Linked DNA regions of Drosophila melanogaster. The protein of the gene in region 3 purifies or fractionates together with the protein of the main gene of each other region. This does not show direct contact. Each region holds a gene or a part of one and is shown on either strand. Other genes may lie near its edges.

Region 1 (6,653 bases), on a different chromosome or scaffold from region 3:
AACTGCTAAACTGACGCACTGACATCGACGAACCGCACCCAAAGTGCTTGGCCCGGCAAGTGCATAGATAACAAACGAGTGCAAGGATAACGAGGCTACACGGCAAGGACTACGTTTGCAACCACAGCTACAGCTGCTACTACAACTGCGTCTATGGCAACGGAAATAACGCGAAAAATGGTGCAACAGCAAAGGGCGAAGAGGAGGGGACAGTGAAATATTGAAATACAATTGGTTTAGGATAAGATCACACACAGCCCCATATCTCTTCCTTCCTCCACTTAAAGACGGCGCCAAAGGATGTGGCATAAGTGGTTTCCAGCTGCCCAGCATTTTGCTTTAAGTCCAGCCAGTTGATTTAAATGGCTACATCAAAAATTGAAAAAGAGATTAGTTACACTCAGTAGGTTGAATAAGGTTTGCCAGCGGGTATTAGCTCACTAAAAAGAAACTCTAGCTTAGACTAACAAATATGATAAACTTGAGTATTTTTAAAGGGAATTTTATTGTAGACAATGAAATGTTATACCTTTTATTGATTGGCTTTCAATTGCAGTATATTATATATGACCTAAATTTGTGCTAGTGAGTTTCTTGCAGTGAAGCTTCCAAAGTACGCGAAGGGATAGTCGCCAAGTTACCCCCTTTGGAGTACTTCACTCGCGACCTCTAAGGTAGTTAAATTGCGCGTCAGTGTCAGCGGCAGAATTGAAATCCTTTTCCTCTGCAGGCACTCTGAGCGTCCTTAGCTTCCCGCATCCCGCTCACCCCTCGCCGCTCATACTTAGTCCTGCGTCAATCACGAACCGCTTTTCCCCATTGAGTGGGACACGTTTTCATGGAACTTTTCCAGCTGCGCCGAAAACTTGGCCACAAACAAGGCGACACATGACACGTACTCGACTTGACTCCACTCCACACCGAAAGCAAAAGCATCGTCTCGACCTAGTCCCTTTCCGCCCAGTTTTCGATGGTGGGGATTAGTTCTAGTTTTTGTCAGTGTTTTAAAGTTTAAAGCTCTTTTGCGGCATATTTGCATATTAAGTGGCATGCGTTGGAAGTTCCAGGCAGCCTGCTGTTGTTAGTTTCGCCTAGGCTTATGCCATGGCCAATCTCGAGAGAAAGGTAACCGCTTTCCGGGCCAAGTTGAGGATCTCAGGAATCACTGCTGTCAGTGAGGGTTTTTCCCTTTGAACGGTTTCTGGCTCTGGCACACATTGCAAGGACGTGCGGCTAAGTCTGATAAGCTGATAAGTCAAATTAGCACTGATGAAAACATTTGCTCGCTTGTCGAGGATTTGTTTGGCATTTACACATTTACAATACATTTGGAGGAACTACAGTCACTTGACTTACAATACTTAGTTGGGCCCATATGACACGGCTTACACATTACATTACATTTTAACAATTGATTCAAGTAAAAAGCATTAAAGCTGTTCAGTCTAATTATAATCAAAGTTAAAAACCGAAAAATATTAAAAAAAAAAATTAATTCCAAATAGTAAAACTACGACATATATAGTCTGGAAAAATAAGAGGTCCAGCGGTCCTTCTATGTCAAGTTTTTTAGAACAATAAATACAGATATAGTAAATGTTAAACACGTTGATTTAGGTTGATATTGCATCAAGTTTTCAACATGCCTATCGTCATATGGGTCTAGCATTTATCACTTGTCAGCGGATACAGAAAGTCTGCGATCGAGGATTCTCTGCTAAACACCCTTGATGAATCGCTCCAGTTGGATGCTTGCAGTCTTGATTACAGCTTCCGCCGGAGTTGAGCATCCGTTGACCACGCCCTCGACGCAAGCCCGTATGGTGATCCGGTAATGGGTTTCCGGCTCCAACTGGGAGAGGCAGTAAAAGTGCTGGGTGCCCGGAAGTTCGTAGCCACTCAAGGGCTCCTCAGCCACGCATTTTTCCTCCACTTGCTGGACCACGGATGCGTGGGAGTTTTGGCACTTGGGCAAGGCATGTCGGATGGTATACTTGTGCTGGTCCAAGTCCTGAAGATCCCGCTGCTTCTTCTCGCTATTCAGGCGATAATTCTCATAGTTAATTGCGGCCAATCTCTCCTTAGCCAATGTTGCATTTGTAGGAGCAGGAGTGGTTGTGGGCGGTCTGGTGGGCTCTTCATCCTTCTTTATGGACAACAGGTGCTCATAGTTAATCACTTTTTCGAACTCCTTTCTGCGATAGTCGTGATTGCGCCTATAGATGGTATAATATTGTATATTATTTCAATTGAAACTTCAAAGAAAACCATATTTTCTTGTCTTACGAAACATAAATGAGATTGGGCAACGCATCCTCGTAGGTGATTTGCTCTTTGTTGTAGTAATCCTCGTCATCTGGCTGAGGACCTGAATAGTAGGGCAGTACACCAGCGCACTCACAATCGATGTCTTTAGCATTTTCCAACTCAACATTCACATAATTTTTGTCCTTTGCTTCCTTGGTAGCATTGTACTTTTCGGCGGTCACAAAATAATTTTTAATGACTCCATTTGGACGCCTCGGTGGCCACCAGTGAAGAAGCTGGAAATGAACAAGTTTTTAAGCTGAGAGATATATTTTGAAAAGTACTTACAATCTGGGAACTGATTTCCGAACTGCCATATATTCGGAGCACAGGACTTGGCCTATCCGGTAGCGTCTGGAAGTAGCCGATTTTTGAGTAGGCATCTATCTGAATATGATATTCGGTTCTGGTGAGGGTCTTCACGAAATACGCATACTGTGTGTAGGGCTTCAGACCGCTTATCACATGACGTCGACTCTGGTTGGGCACAACGTCCATCAGCCAGCTGGAAAATTATAAACAGAATCACTGTAGGTAAACTTGGTGAGGGCGAGGAGTCCACACCCACTTGTCATGACCGCAACCATGCCGACCATCGTACATAGTCACGTTTTGCACCGGGGCTTCCTTGTAGTGATACGAATATCCTATTAGCGTTTCCATACCCTCCCAGTCCATGTAGTCCAGGATGATGCGTACCGCAGTGGAATTTAGGTCCTCCACTTTGGGATTGAGGGAGCGCACCGCGTCGCCACAAATCACGCGTTCGCCGTTCGAATTGGGGGATACATCTGCCACGGATATATTCTCTCCGCTTTTCAGGGAGCCCTGTAGCTGATGGATTTTCTCGTAGCACAGGCGGGGATTCAGGTGAAAGAATAGTGTACCGCGCTGAATGATCACCAGGTGATTGGGTGGCCAAATGTGCTCCAAATGGTAGTTATTCACTACATACAGGGCGTATCTGAAAATGAGATAAATAATATTATTAGAATTTCAATACAATCCTTGCCTCTCAAACTAACTTGTTTTCCACCAGCTTATCCCCTCTTATGGCATCCAAATTCTGAAGAAATGTGAGCGACATCAGCTGTGCAGAGTGTATGACCTTCAGATACCCAGTGATCTCTTTAACACTGGCCAACGCATTTTCCAAGGCATCTACAATTTTTTCTGGAAAATGTATTATGTAAGTAAATTATACAGATATCATATATGATATGAAACACACCTTTAATATTGGTGAGTTCGATGGTAAGTGAACCATTGATCGTCACACAGTCTTGTAAAACTTCCAGGTCGGCAGCACTCTTCACGTGAAAATCGCCGTTGCACTCCACCTGGCAGTGGATGATGCCCTTGGCGACCAAAATCTCTTTCTGGTTTCCCGGACACTTTTTCACACACTGATAGCCGCGTATCAGGGGAATCCTTCCCAATTCCCGGCACTCCCTGTGACCGATGCACCTCCTCTTGTTTAATTCATAGCTGGCGACACACTGATTGACACATCCCATTCTTCCCTGGTAGTTTGCACAAAGGGAGCAGTTTTGGGAATAGCAACCAGTTACACAGTTGTGATCACAACATTTGCCCGCACTATCACATCCGTTTAGGCCACATGCAATGGGGCAGTCCTTAAGTCTGGGCGGTTGGGGGCGAAGTTGTGTCGTATTCACGTTCCAGCAGCGCTCCGAGGAGTTCCGGATGAACTCGAAGTCCGCTGACAGGCTACCACACAAAGGGCACTGACTTTGCGGTCTGTTGTGCTATGGTTAATAAAAAAGTTATTTATCCAATATTTGCTTAATATCAAGGAACATATGCCCAAGTATATCTTCACTCACTTTAAGGGAAAAGTGCTGCCGAGTGGCATTGCCCATTAGATATATCCAATCGACGGTTTCCACGAAGCACAGCAAGGGATTCGATTCGACGCGAATGAATCCGCTCTGGATGCGCAATAACTCCACCAGGCCGAGCTCCCTGAGATTGCGATTCTCGTAGACCACCAGGGAGTACTGATCAAAGAGGAGCTCCTGCCCACGAATGATACGCAGCCGTGGGAATATCGACTGCAGGCTGATCAGACCCGTGCAGCGATACACCATTAGGTAGTCACTGATCTCGGTCACATTGCTGGCCAGCGAATCCAGGCTGTAGTTGCCGGATACATCCGTCAGATCCACATAGGCCAGTCGAACGTGACCCACCACATGAGTACAGTTCTGCAGTTTCCGCAGGTCCGCAATCTTATTTATCTCCAACGATCCGCAGGCGGTTTGATCATCGGAACTGGCCAAAACCGGCGATGAGGCGCCCAAAAACAGCAGTATCAACGGAACTGCGATCGAGATGGGGATCGGAAGGGGGTTGGGAACGGGGTGCAGATGCCCCATGCTGCCACCTGACACTTCCAATTGAGAGCACTTGACCCGGGCGTTAAGGGGGCTTCCAATGGATCAATTAGCGCGCCCGCTTGAATGTCAATGTCGTTTTTCTCGCACGATCGATCGGTTGAACTATATATTTTTTTAAATATTTTTTCCGCTTTTGAAGAGAGCTGCGTTCGCGGCAACGATTCGATTTGGACTGATGGCATTCGATTCGAACAGCGTTCTGTGCTTTCGATCTCTTTAATTAGCCTCTTCTTTCGGCATTCACTTTGTTTTGTTTTGTTTGGTTTTGTTTCACACTGTTATTTCTTTTTTATGCGCTCGTCTTCGTTCTCTAAACCCTTCGGCTACACCAGCGGAAAATCGTGTAGTGTTCATAAAACTATTCAAATTTGTCGACATTTATAAGAACCTAAAAATGTATGCAAAGCGAACATATTTAGTAACCTTTTTCTTAAGCAAAATATCTTTTAAGCAGATTTCCAAAATTATTACAATAATAAAATATTTAGCATATTGTTTGATAGAGCCAATTCTAATATAAATATCTAAATATCTTCAAAAACCAGAACTATTTTTTCGACTCGGTGTATAAAAACTGCTCAAGAATGAAAATCAAAGGTGGTGGCTGTTGTGAGAGAAGAAGACTGATGATTCGATGGGGAGCAGTCTGGTAATATTTACGTTAATGAAAGTAAACATTTCGTAAAACAATATCGTAAAATAATATACTTGCCGGTCTTGCTATTTGTTTGTTTCTAGTTTTCTCAATCAAATTTAAACCCCCTAATGCCCTTTTGCAGTCAATTAAAAAAGTGATATACGAAACTTAAAATTAAGATTAAGAGTACCATGATAATTCGTATGATCTTTTACGGTTTTTGATAGATCGATTTGTGGAGCTACAAATGAAATTCAAAAACTGGAAACCCTTTTTGAAATTCTTGGCACGCCACTGTTTCATTTTGTTGGGGAGCGATTATTTTACGCATCTGTTACCTTTCACGTTTTTCTCATTGTCGTTTCCTTGTTGCCGTCAGCCGAAAAACACTTGTTACTTCTGCAACCGCCACAGCCCCTTGCCACGCCCCCACTCCCCATGTGACCTTGCAACCATTTGCAAACCGGTTGGATCCTCTTCCCCCTTCCTCCTTAGCTACCTTCCCCTTAGCCACCTACCGGCGTTCTTTACCTTTTTCCCCAGAGTGCATGTCTTTGCCTTTTGTTTTTGCATTTGCGCAGAAATTAAATTGCACCGGCGAACAATTCAATTAGAGTGAATGCAAAAAAACAGTGAAAATAAGAGCGAAAATGGTGGGAGGGGGTGAACCAAAGCTCCAATCCAATTGGTAGAGTAGTGAGCATTGAACAACGCGCAATTGGCAGTTCATTAAGGTGCAAGTAACGCTCAATGGAATCGGAAAAAGAATTTTCTAAATTTAGTCAGATGCCAATTGAATACGCAGCTTGAATGATTGTTCAATAACAAAAAAATAGATAATATATTTATGTGTTAAATACAATAGCAATAGAAATCTATAAATAATTTGCGCAAAATTGTGCCCCGTTGTTTTAGATATTTTAATGGGCAAACCACATAAAAACGCACGAAATAATTTCAAATTTTCACTTTGTTATTATAGGGTATATCTTTAGTGTAGTACTTTGAATATATCATTACATATGTAACAGCGGATAAAATCTGCCTAATTCACCCCAGGATAATTATTTAGTTATTATATCTATTCCAAAAATTATTTTAAACATAATAATTTATGTTACCGTCGCGATAATCCATTCAAAATTAGTTAATAATTGATAAAACCATCATCAATGGTCAATATAGGCAGTAATTTATTATTATTATTTATCATAAAACGTTATTTTTAGCTTTAAATATGCTTAAAGCCAACTTCTATTTCTAAAAACAAAACTGCCATAAACTGTATC
Region 2 (3,547 bases), 5.6 Mb from region 3:
TCTGTATGGGTGGCGATGCTGAATGAATTTGGTCGATCAATAAATTAGTTGTAGAAATGATGGGTGCACATAAATACGAATTGGGTGGGTGATTGACTGATTGATTGGTTGATTGACTGTGGCTTGTGCCACGAGTCATAAGTGCTTCTTGGGCTGCAGTGCCCTTAAGTAAACGGCCAATTAGTTTAAATACGTTAACTAGTGCTGCCTGAATCGCTAGGAACAATCATTGCTACTTACAAAGAACCAAAGAAGCGTGATTACAAGCCGATAACTAAAGCTATAATTGAAGAAAACCATAAAGTAGGTGCTATAATTCGAATGCTCTAAATGTGACTGATATTCGAGGATAATAAGTGGGAAAATTAGTGTCTAAGCCGGCATTAGATACGGTTAATTACCTGGACTACGAGCTAGATTGTGCTTAATCTAAATTGTACATAATTGTAAATCGTATGACCTTTTGATCCATCATATTTTTTTTTGATTTTTTTTTTTTTGTATTTTTTCTAAGCATATTTCATTTCTTTTCACGCATCTTCGAAGGCATTTGATCTATCTAACTAACTAGATGAATTTCCGTCGTCAATCCAATAGCCTTTTGTTTTTTATTTGGTGGTAGGATCTTTAGTCTTCCTCATTCTGCAAGGACAAGAAAAATACGTAGGGATTACTTAGGATGAGTTGGTATAACCCGGCGGGTAGGGGAATACTTACAAGTACGGGATACACGAAGGTATCGGCGGTATCCTTTCCGACGACGTTGCGGGCTATGCACTTGTAGTTGCCCATATCCTCCCACTTGATCTCGGAGATCAGAAGATCGCCGTTGGCCAGCACCCTGTGGCGATGTCCTTGGACGATCTCCTTGTTCTCGTTATTCAACCAGGTGATCTCGGCGCGGGGACGGGCGTGCACGCGGCAGGGCAGCTGAATGTTGGAGCCCATGAGGTCCAGATGCGTCTTCTCGGTGTAGATGATTCGCGGTTTCTGGGCACCCGGGTAGGTCTTCTCCGGCGTCAGACGAGAGGAGCGAGGAGGATGCACCACAGTGCTGGCATAGATGGTCTTGGAGCCAGTGCGTCCCACACACGTGTAGGTGCGGGCCTCGCTCAGCACGTGGTCGATGATATGCGACGATCGGACGCGCACAATGGCACTGGGCGCCTCTTCGGCAACCTGGTTGGAGTCCAGATCATCGAGCTCCGAGCGGGGCAGGTGACCCACCACCCACTGGATGCTGGGCACTTGGGAGCCCATCATCTCGCAAACGATCTCGATGGTGGCTCCATCGGCCTGCTGCAGCTTCGTCGGCGGCGTCTTGGTGAACTTGAGCCAGTCGGCTTCGAAGGCTCGGTTGCGTGGCTTCTCCTCCTCCGCCTCGATGGAGTTATCCACGTCGTTGCTATCGTCTACCAGGTCCACGGCTCTTCCGCGGACAGTGGCGATGCTGCCGAACAGCAGCAGCGCTAAGGCGCACACATGTAAATTCATTTTCTGCAAGATCGATAGAGAGAGTGGAAATCGGAAGTGAGTTCAAAGTTCAACAGCGGCACTCGTACGACTCTAATATAGGTTATTAAACCCCAGAGCAACGTGATGCGATTAGCCCGACTTTTCAGCCAGTCATGCATCCCCCCACCACCCCACCACCCCACTTCCCCCACTCATCACCGCCTCCATTAATCAGGGGAGGTCTCCGAGTCTATTTCCCCGATAAGAACGCAAGGCCTTCAGTCGGCGGGCTCTAGAACATTACTAACACTTGCGAAATGTGCTAATGGCTCTCGGAGTCCGGAATTTAGATTCGGAATCCTTTTCCGGCCCCTAAGAGATGTGCTCGGTCCAAACGTAGATGAATGTATTTCACAATGACACGTCACCAGACAACAAGAATTGACAAAAGAAAATGATATAAGATTCTTGCGTGGGCCGAATCAGAGGCAGAAATCGAAAACGGAAAACGGAATGACTCGCGGAGTGTGACGTCAATTTAAATTCGAATTCTACAGCCCGATTCGGATTCACACACTCACCCACGCTTCAGCCGCAGATCAAGGGCCAATGTGTCCCCATAGTCTAGACTGGACAAACTGCGTGACCGATTAATTATTCAAATAGTTTCGAGGGTATTATGTATGTACATACGCTTGTATGTATGAATTAGTAGTAGCCCCACAAAAAGTCATTCGCCAATCGCTGGCGAATGTTGCATCAGACGGTCTTTGCCCTTCGACGGTGATTTTTGTATCTTTGGGCATTTCTACGAATTCGAATTTTGAAAAAAAAAAAACAAACGAAAAACGGAACACGAAACTGCGTTCGGCGGCAATCACCTATCTATTGTTAACGCACATTACTCACCCTTTGATTTGATTTCTTTTTTCTCTTCCGGTAAAAAATGTTTGCAAATTTCTCCCCAACGTTGGACGATGATAGATCAGGTAAAGCAGAAGCAGGTCGGCTTATCGTTATGTTATGAACGAATTTATCAGCTCTATGTTGTGATGGCTCCTGGTCTGGGCTTTCTGGTTGAAGTTGAGCAGCAGCTGGCTTAGCACTGACATAGGTCCGGCGCTGGATGCCGTCTTGGAGGTCGTGCAGCTCAGTGTTGGTGGAATCTTGGCTGCTTGCCGGTCTGTCTTGGGCGACGAGGATGGATCGTATTGAAACGTCTGGGTGCTGTGCTCGGGAGTGGCGCTTCAGGATCGGGATAAGGATCGAGTAATTGGGTAGCGGAAGCGTGTTAATCTCAGGCGGCGTAGCGAATATCTAGCTGACTACTTTGGCACATTCGATCCTCGTGGCGGTATCAGTGCTCCTTCGATGTGGACGTGGACTTGGTCTGGTACTTCTTGATGGTTGTCTGGTTGGCGCGGCACTCGTTTGAATACGCACGGTTCATCGACATTACACTCGAGTCAAGGTGTGTTGGTTTTTGGTTTTTGGGGGGGATTGCTGCTGCGAATGCGGTTCACGGCGAATTGAAAAGCGAGGATCGCGGATCGGCTTAGTTAACTTCGGATCAGTTGGCTTCGGCGGCTCTCAAAAGTCGTGTTCAACAGCTGGAAACTGTAACAGAACTGAATTGGTGGCCGCAGCGCTGTTCCATTTATATGCGACGCCGGCTCACTCACACACACACACAGACAACAGACACACACACACACACTCTCACTCACTCGCCGCTCTCTCTCTGCTCGTTCTCGGATCGTAATTCTTTATGCGACCGCCGCACCGGGAAGGTGCGGAACAAAACAGATATAACCGGACGGGGGGTTCGATTATCCGCCTCGGGATCTGTCTTTCCACCGCCTAATTGCGTCCGCAGTCCAGAGTTGGTGGTTTGGAAACTGAGGTGTCTCACAAGGATAGCTCAATGACTTTCCAGCCCATATACCATTTCATTTCGATCTTGACAATTAACATTGTCATCTTATGCAAGTTGTTGAGAACATACAACAGTGTTCGAGATCCTATGACTTTCTATCACATGTAAGTAAAATTAATTAACCCTACATATAAAGGTGCTTCACACTACTCTGTT
Region 3 (3,353 bases):
GAATATATCTTTTTTTCTATTAAAACTAAATTTATTGAAAACAAAAAAAATCTTAAAAAAACTTGAAACAATTTAAACCATTCATTCATTTCCAAAACTTGTTTCTGTCTTAATACAGTAGGCAATCCAATTGCAATTCAAAAGTTAGTCGCATGTGGGAAATTTCCAAATTTTAGTTCATAGCTTTTTTCGTACTTCGTTTATCGATGATTATATCATCCGTAAAGAAGTAATTGATCAAATCTTATAATCAAAACATTGACTTACTTTTATGTTGACCTTAAAAGTCGAGTATTTCTAGTCGCGGTTGGCCGATTTTATAGCAATACTCATAATTTAATCGTTCTGTGTAGTTGTAAATTAGAAGATTATTACATTTTGAAAGCTAAAATAAACGGAATCAACTAAATTCATGCAGACCTTAAATAACAATCACGCATTACCAAATGCAAGGCATTAAAAGTGCAAAACGGATAATCTTAGTAAATTAACTAAAATATTAATAAATATCGTTTTAAAACTGACCATTTCAGCGTAGGTTTTGAGGGCATTAAATTGGAATGATTTTAAACTTTACAATGAACAGAGTTTGTTAAAAAATCACAGCTTCCTTTTCAACATAGTTGCAAACAGAAATCCGGCCGCTGTTCAATAAATAATTAACTGCAATGAACGACAATGAAAAATCAATGTAATACCCGTTTCATTACCAATCAAGTTGGCCAATCTGCAGCAGTTTGAATACATAATTTATTTAATAATTTATACCCAGGCGATGTATTCTGGCCCCGCACAATCATACATATCTACCATGCATAACATCCCGTGTTCCGATTCATTTCGCGTGCCTGTCTCTGATTTCAGATCATAAATTATGCGCATACATCCCTCTTACATGTGCATATATATCATAAATCCAAAGTTGGAATTGAGTAGGCTTCGATAACGACTTAACAACTATGATTACGTGAGTGCTTTCCCCAATCGGGTCCTTTCATTCCATTTCAATCATCGCAGTTGTCGTCATTGGGTTAATAGGTTTACGAGGTTTACGTTCTCGGCTTGGCAGCACAATATCTCAGCACCTCATCCATGGTGCACGACTTCAGGCAACACTCGTCGAAGACTCCATCCCGAAGACGTCGAGTCTTGAGCATCTGAACCGAACTATCACTCAACAGTCTTTCCAGCAGGGAACGGTCTTCGAAGCCATCGATCTGATTGAAGTTCACGGGGTCTACAGGTGTTAGGTGAAAGTAAAGAGATATGGCACTTTAGTATTCCTTATATCAAGAAAAATCCCACCTACCCAAAGTTCTCTTGGTCATTGCGTTGAAGCCATACACACAGAGCTTGGAGAGAGTTTCGGGCAGTTTGCGGCCGCACAACTTCATGGTGGCCTGGACACCGCCGATCATAAGGATTAGTAGGAGTAGGCTAGGTAGCAGGATCCTCCTGTCCTGACACCTCATCTCGATGCCCATGAGTGATGAAGTGGTGTTTAAGTATGGATGCGTGAATCCCCCGGGGAGTGTGTAGTATGTGTCTGCCAAGTGGCACGGCCTCAACTGTTTGCCTCCCAGCCATCGACTGAGGGTTATATATATGGGGCAGAATCGGATAGGATACGAGTTGGATGTCTGCGGGCTGTATCCAGCGTCTGAGCACTGTCAGCATGAGTCAGCCGTAGTGTCAGTTAGCATCATCCACATATGTAGTTCGCCCTGGTCTGGTCTAGTTTCTCGTGAGGATTCGGGCTGGCATGGGATGTCTGAAATGGTGAGATGATGATGAGCCCGGGGGGTCTGACGCATATCAGCTGGCGTTTGTTTACTTTCTCGCCCAAGGAGTAGCGCACGGATCTGGATTGTTGAAAAACAAAATGACGTGCATCGAGTTCCCTTCGGCAGACGAGGATGTTCATCCATTTTGGTGGGTTCAGAAAGTTTAACTGTAAAGTTTAGCAGTTTAACTATATAGTTCTATGCATACATATTTAAACTCACATTTGGCAAGCTACTAAAAGTAAACTTACTTGAAATATATTCATTGATTAAATAAACACTTTTTCGAATTAGTCATTTATTAAATTTGGAATGTAATAAAAATTACCTAAAGAATAATGATACTTTCAAAACTACTTAAATTCTTTAAATTAACACAAAAGCCATTACGTTTTAACAACACTTTTAGAGCTTATTTCATTCCCATTCAATTAAAAACGAGTGCCAACTTATTCAATTGCTTTTGAGTGGAAAACAATAAAGTCGCCTTCTGTTATCTCATTATCTTGGCTCAGTACCTTCGATACTTTATGGTTTCCCCAAGTCCCTTTTGCCAATGATAAGCCAACTGAGCCTTTTTTCCGTCCGCAAAAAAACAGGTATTAGTATAGATTTTTACCTGTAAGAACGGAATTATTATCATTTCAAAACCCTTCGGTTGAATAGAGTGTTATCTTCGGAAAATCCCGCTACTGATTGGAAGTTGTTTTCTAGTTTTGATATCGCTCCTTCGATAATAACAAAAATTATGGATAAAAAGGAAGCTGTAAATTCGAATCTGAGTGTATTACCGAGTTCGTTTTGTCTCCACCTTTTGTTTTGCTTATTAAAATCAGAACGTCATCTAATTAAAAATTCATATTTTTCATTATTGTTCTCGGAAAACAAGGGCACCGCACTCGAGGTGCTGAATGGCAGCTGCTTGTGGGTGGCTCGATGGTTTGGGTGGCTTCGGGTGGTTTGAATAACAAGGGGATTCCCCATGCCTCACAGCTGGAATGCTGCAGGGCGTAGAATGTAGAAAAAAGCAATGGACTCTTCTTTTGTTTCTGCTGCTGCTTGGAGAGTAACTTTATTTGCCTCCACTAGAAATTTTACAATGAAATATTTGGAAATACGATTACGTTTATAGTTAGGGGTTAAGTGTAGTAGGAAAATGAATTGCAAATAGCCTGCCGGTCGTCGGGTGTTTTCCCCGTGCCGCCACACAAAATCTCAGCCATGTCGTGTTCATCTGGTACTTGGTTTTTGGGATCTGGTTTCTGGTTTTTATTTGTTTTGTTTTGCCATCCTGGTCATCAGGCGCAGTAGTCCAGTATATCGTCGTAGGTGCAGCCCTCCTTGCAACACTCGTGGGCGATGCGTCGCCGATGGCGTCGCAACTTTCGTCCACTTCCGACGGCCGGTGGCACACCCTTCTCCGTATCCGCATCCGTATGCTTCTGCTTTAACCTTCCCGTTTCCGTTTCCTGTTCAATGTCCTCATCCGGCTGCTGTAGCTTACGGATAAGGTCTCGCACTCTAGCATCCTTAGACGCTTGTCGAAAAGAAGTTAGATGTATGGAAGCC

What was found. Proteins that work in one complex are often made in the same cells at the same time.
Region 1: the proteins of Ilp3 (region 3) and Sdr purify together in Drosophila melanogaster (affinity purification with western blotting, with the first as the bait; one study listed by BioGRID). This does not show direct contact.
Region 2: the proteins of Ilp3 (region 3) and ImpL2 purify together in Drosophila melanogaster (affinity purification with western blotting, with the first as the bait; one study listed by BioGRID). This does not show direct contact.

The regions. Positions count from the first base shown.
Region 1 is NT_033777.3:14,916,931-14,923,583, reverse strand, and holds Sdr (secreted decoy of InR), read right to left. Parts: upstream 4,957-6,653; 5' UTR 4,707-4,956; coding exon 4,155-4,706; intron 4,077-4,154; coding exon 3,539-4,076; intron 3,481-3,538; coding exon 3,333-3,480; intron 3,272-3,332; coding exon 2,876-3,271; intron 2,813-2,875; coding exon 2,596-2,812; intron 2,544-2,595; coding exon 2,287-2,543; intron 2,217-2,286; coding exon 1,718-2,216; 3' UTR 501-1,717; downstream 1-500.
Region 2 is NT_037436.4:4,224,210-4,227,756, forward strand, and holds ImpL2 (Ecdysone-inducible gene L2), read right to left. Parts: upstream 1,742-3,547; 5' UTR 1,684-1,741; coding exon 1,675-1,683; intron 1,498-1,674; coding exon 718-1,497; intron 643-717; coding exon 628-642; 3' UTR 501-627; downstream 1-500. Other genes in the region: CG46460 (uncharacterized protein), read right to left, coding at 2,472-2,567. UniProt on the Drosophila melanogaster protein: Essential developmental role during embryogenesis, in particular the normal development of the nervous system. May be involved in some aspect of cell adhesion.
Region 3 is NT_037436.4:9,800,566-9,803,918, forward strand, and holds Ilp3 (Insulin-like peptide 3), read right to left. Parts: upstream 1,556-3,353; 5' UTR 1,485-1,555; coding exon 1,310-1,484; intron 1,238-1,309; coding exon 1,050-1,237; 3' UTR 733-1,049; downstream 1-732. Other genes in the region: Ilp4 (Insulin-like peptide 4), read right to left, coding at 3,083-3,321. UniProt on the Drosophila melanogaster protein: Possible ligand of InR/insulin-like receptor.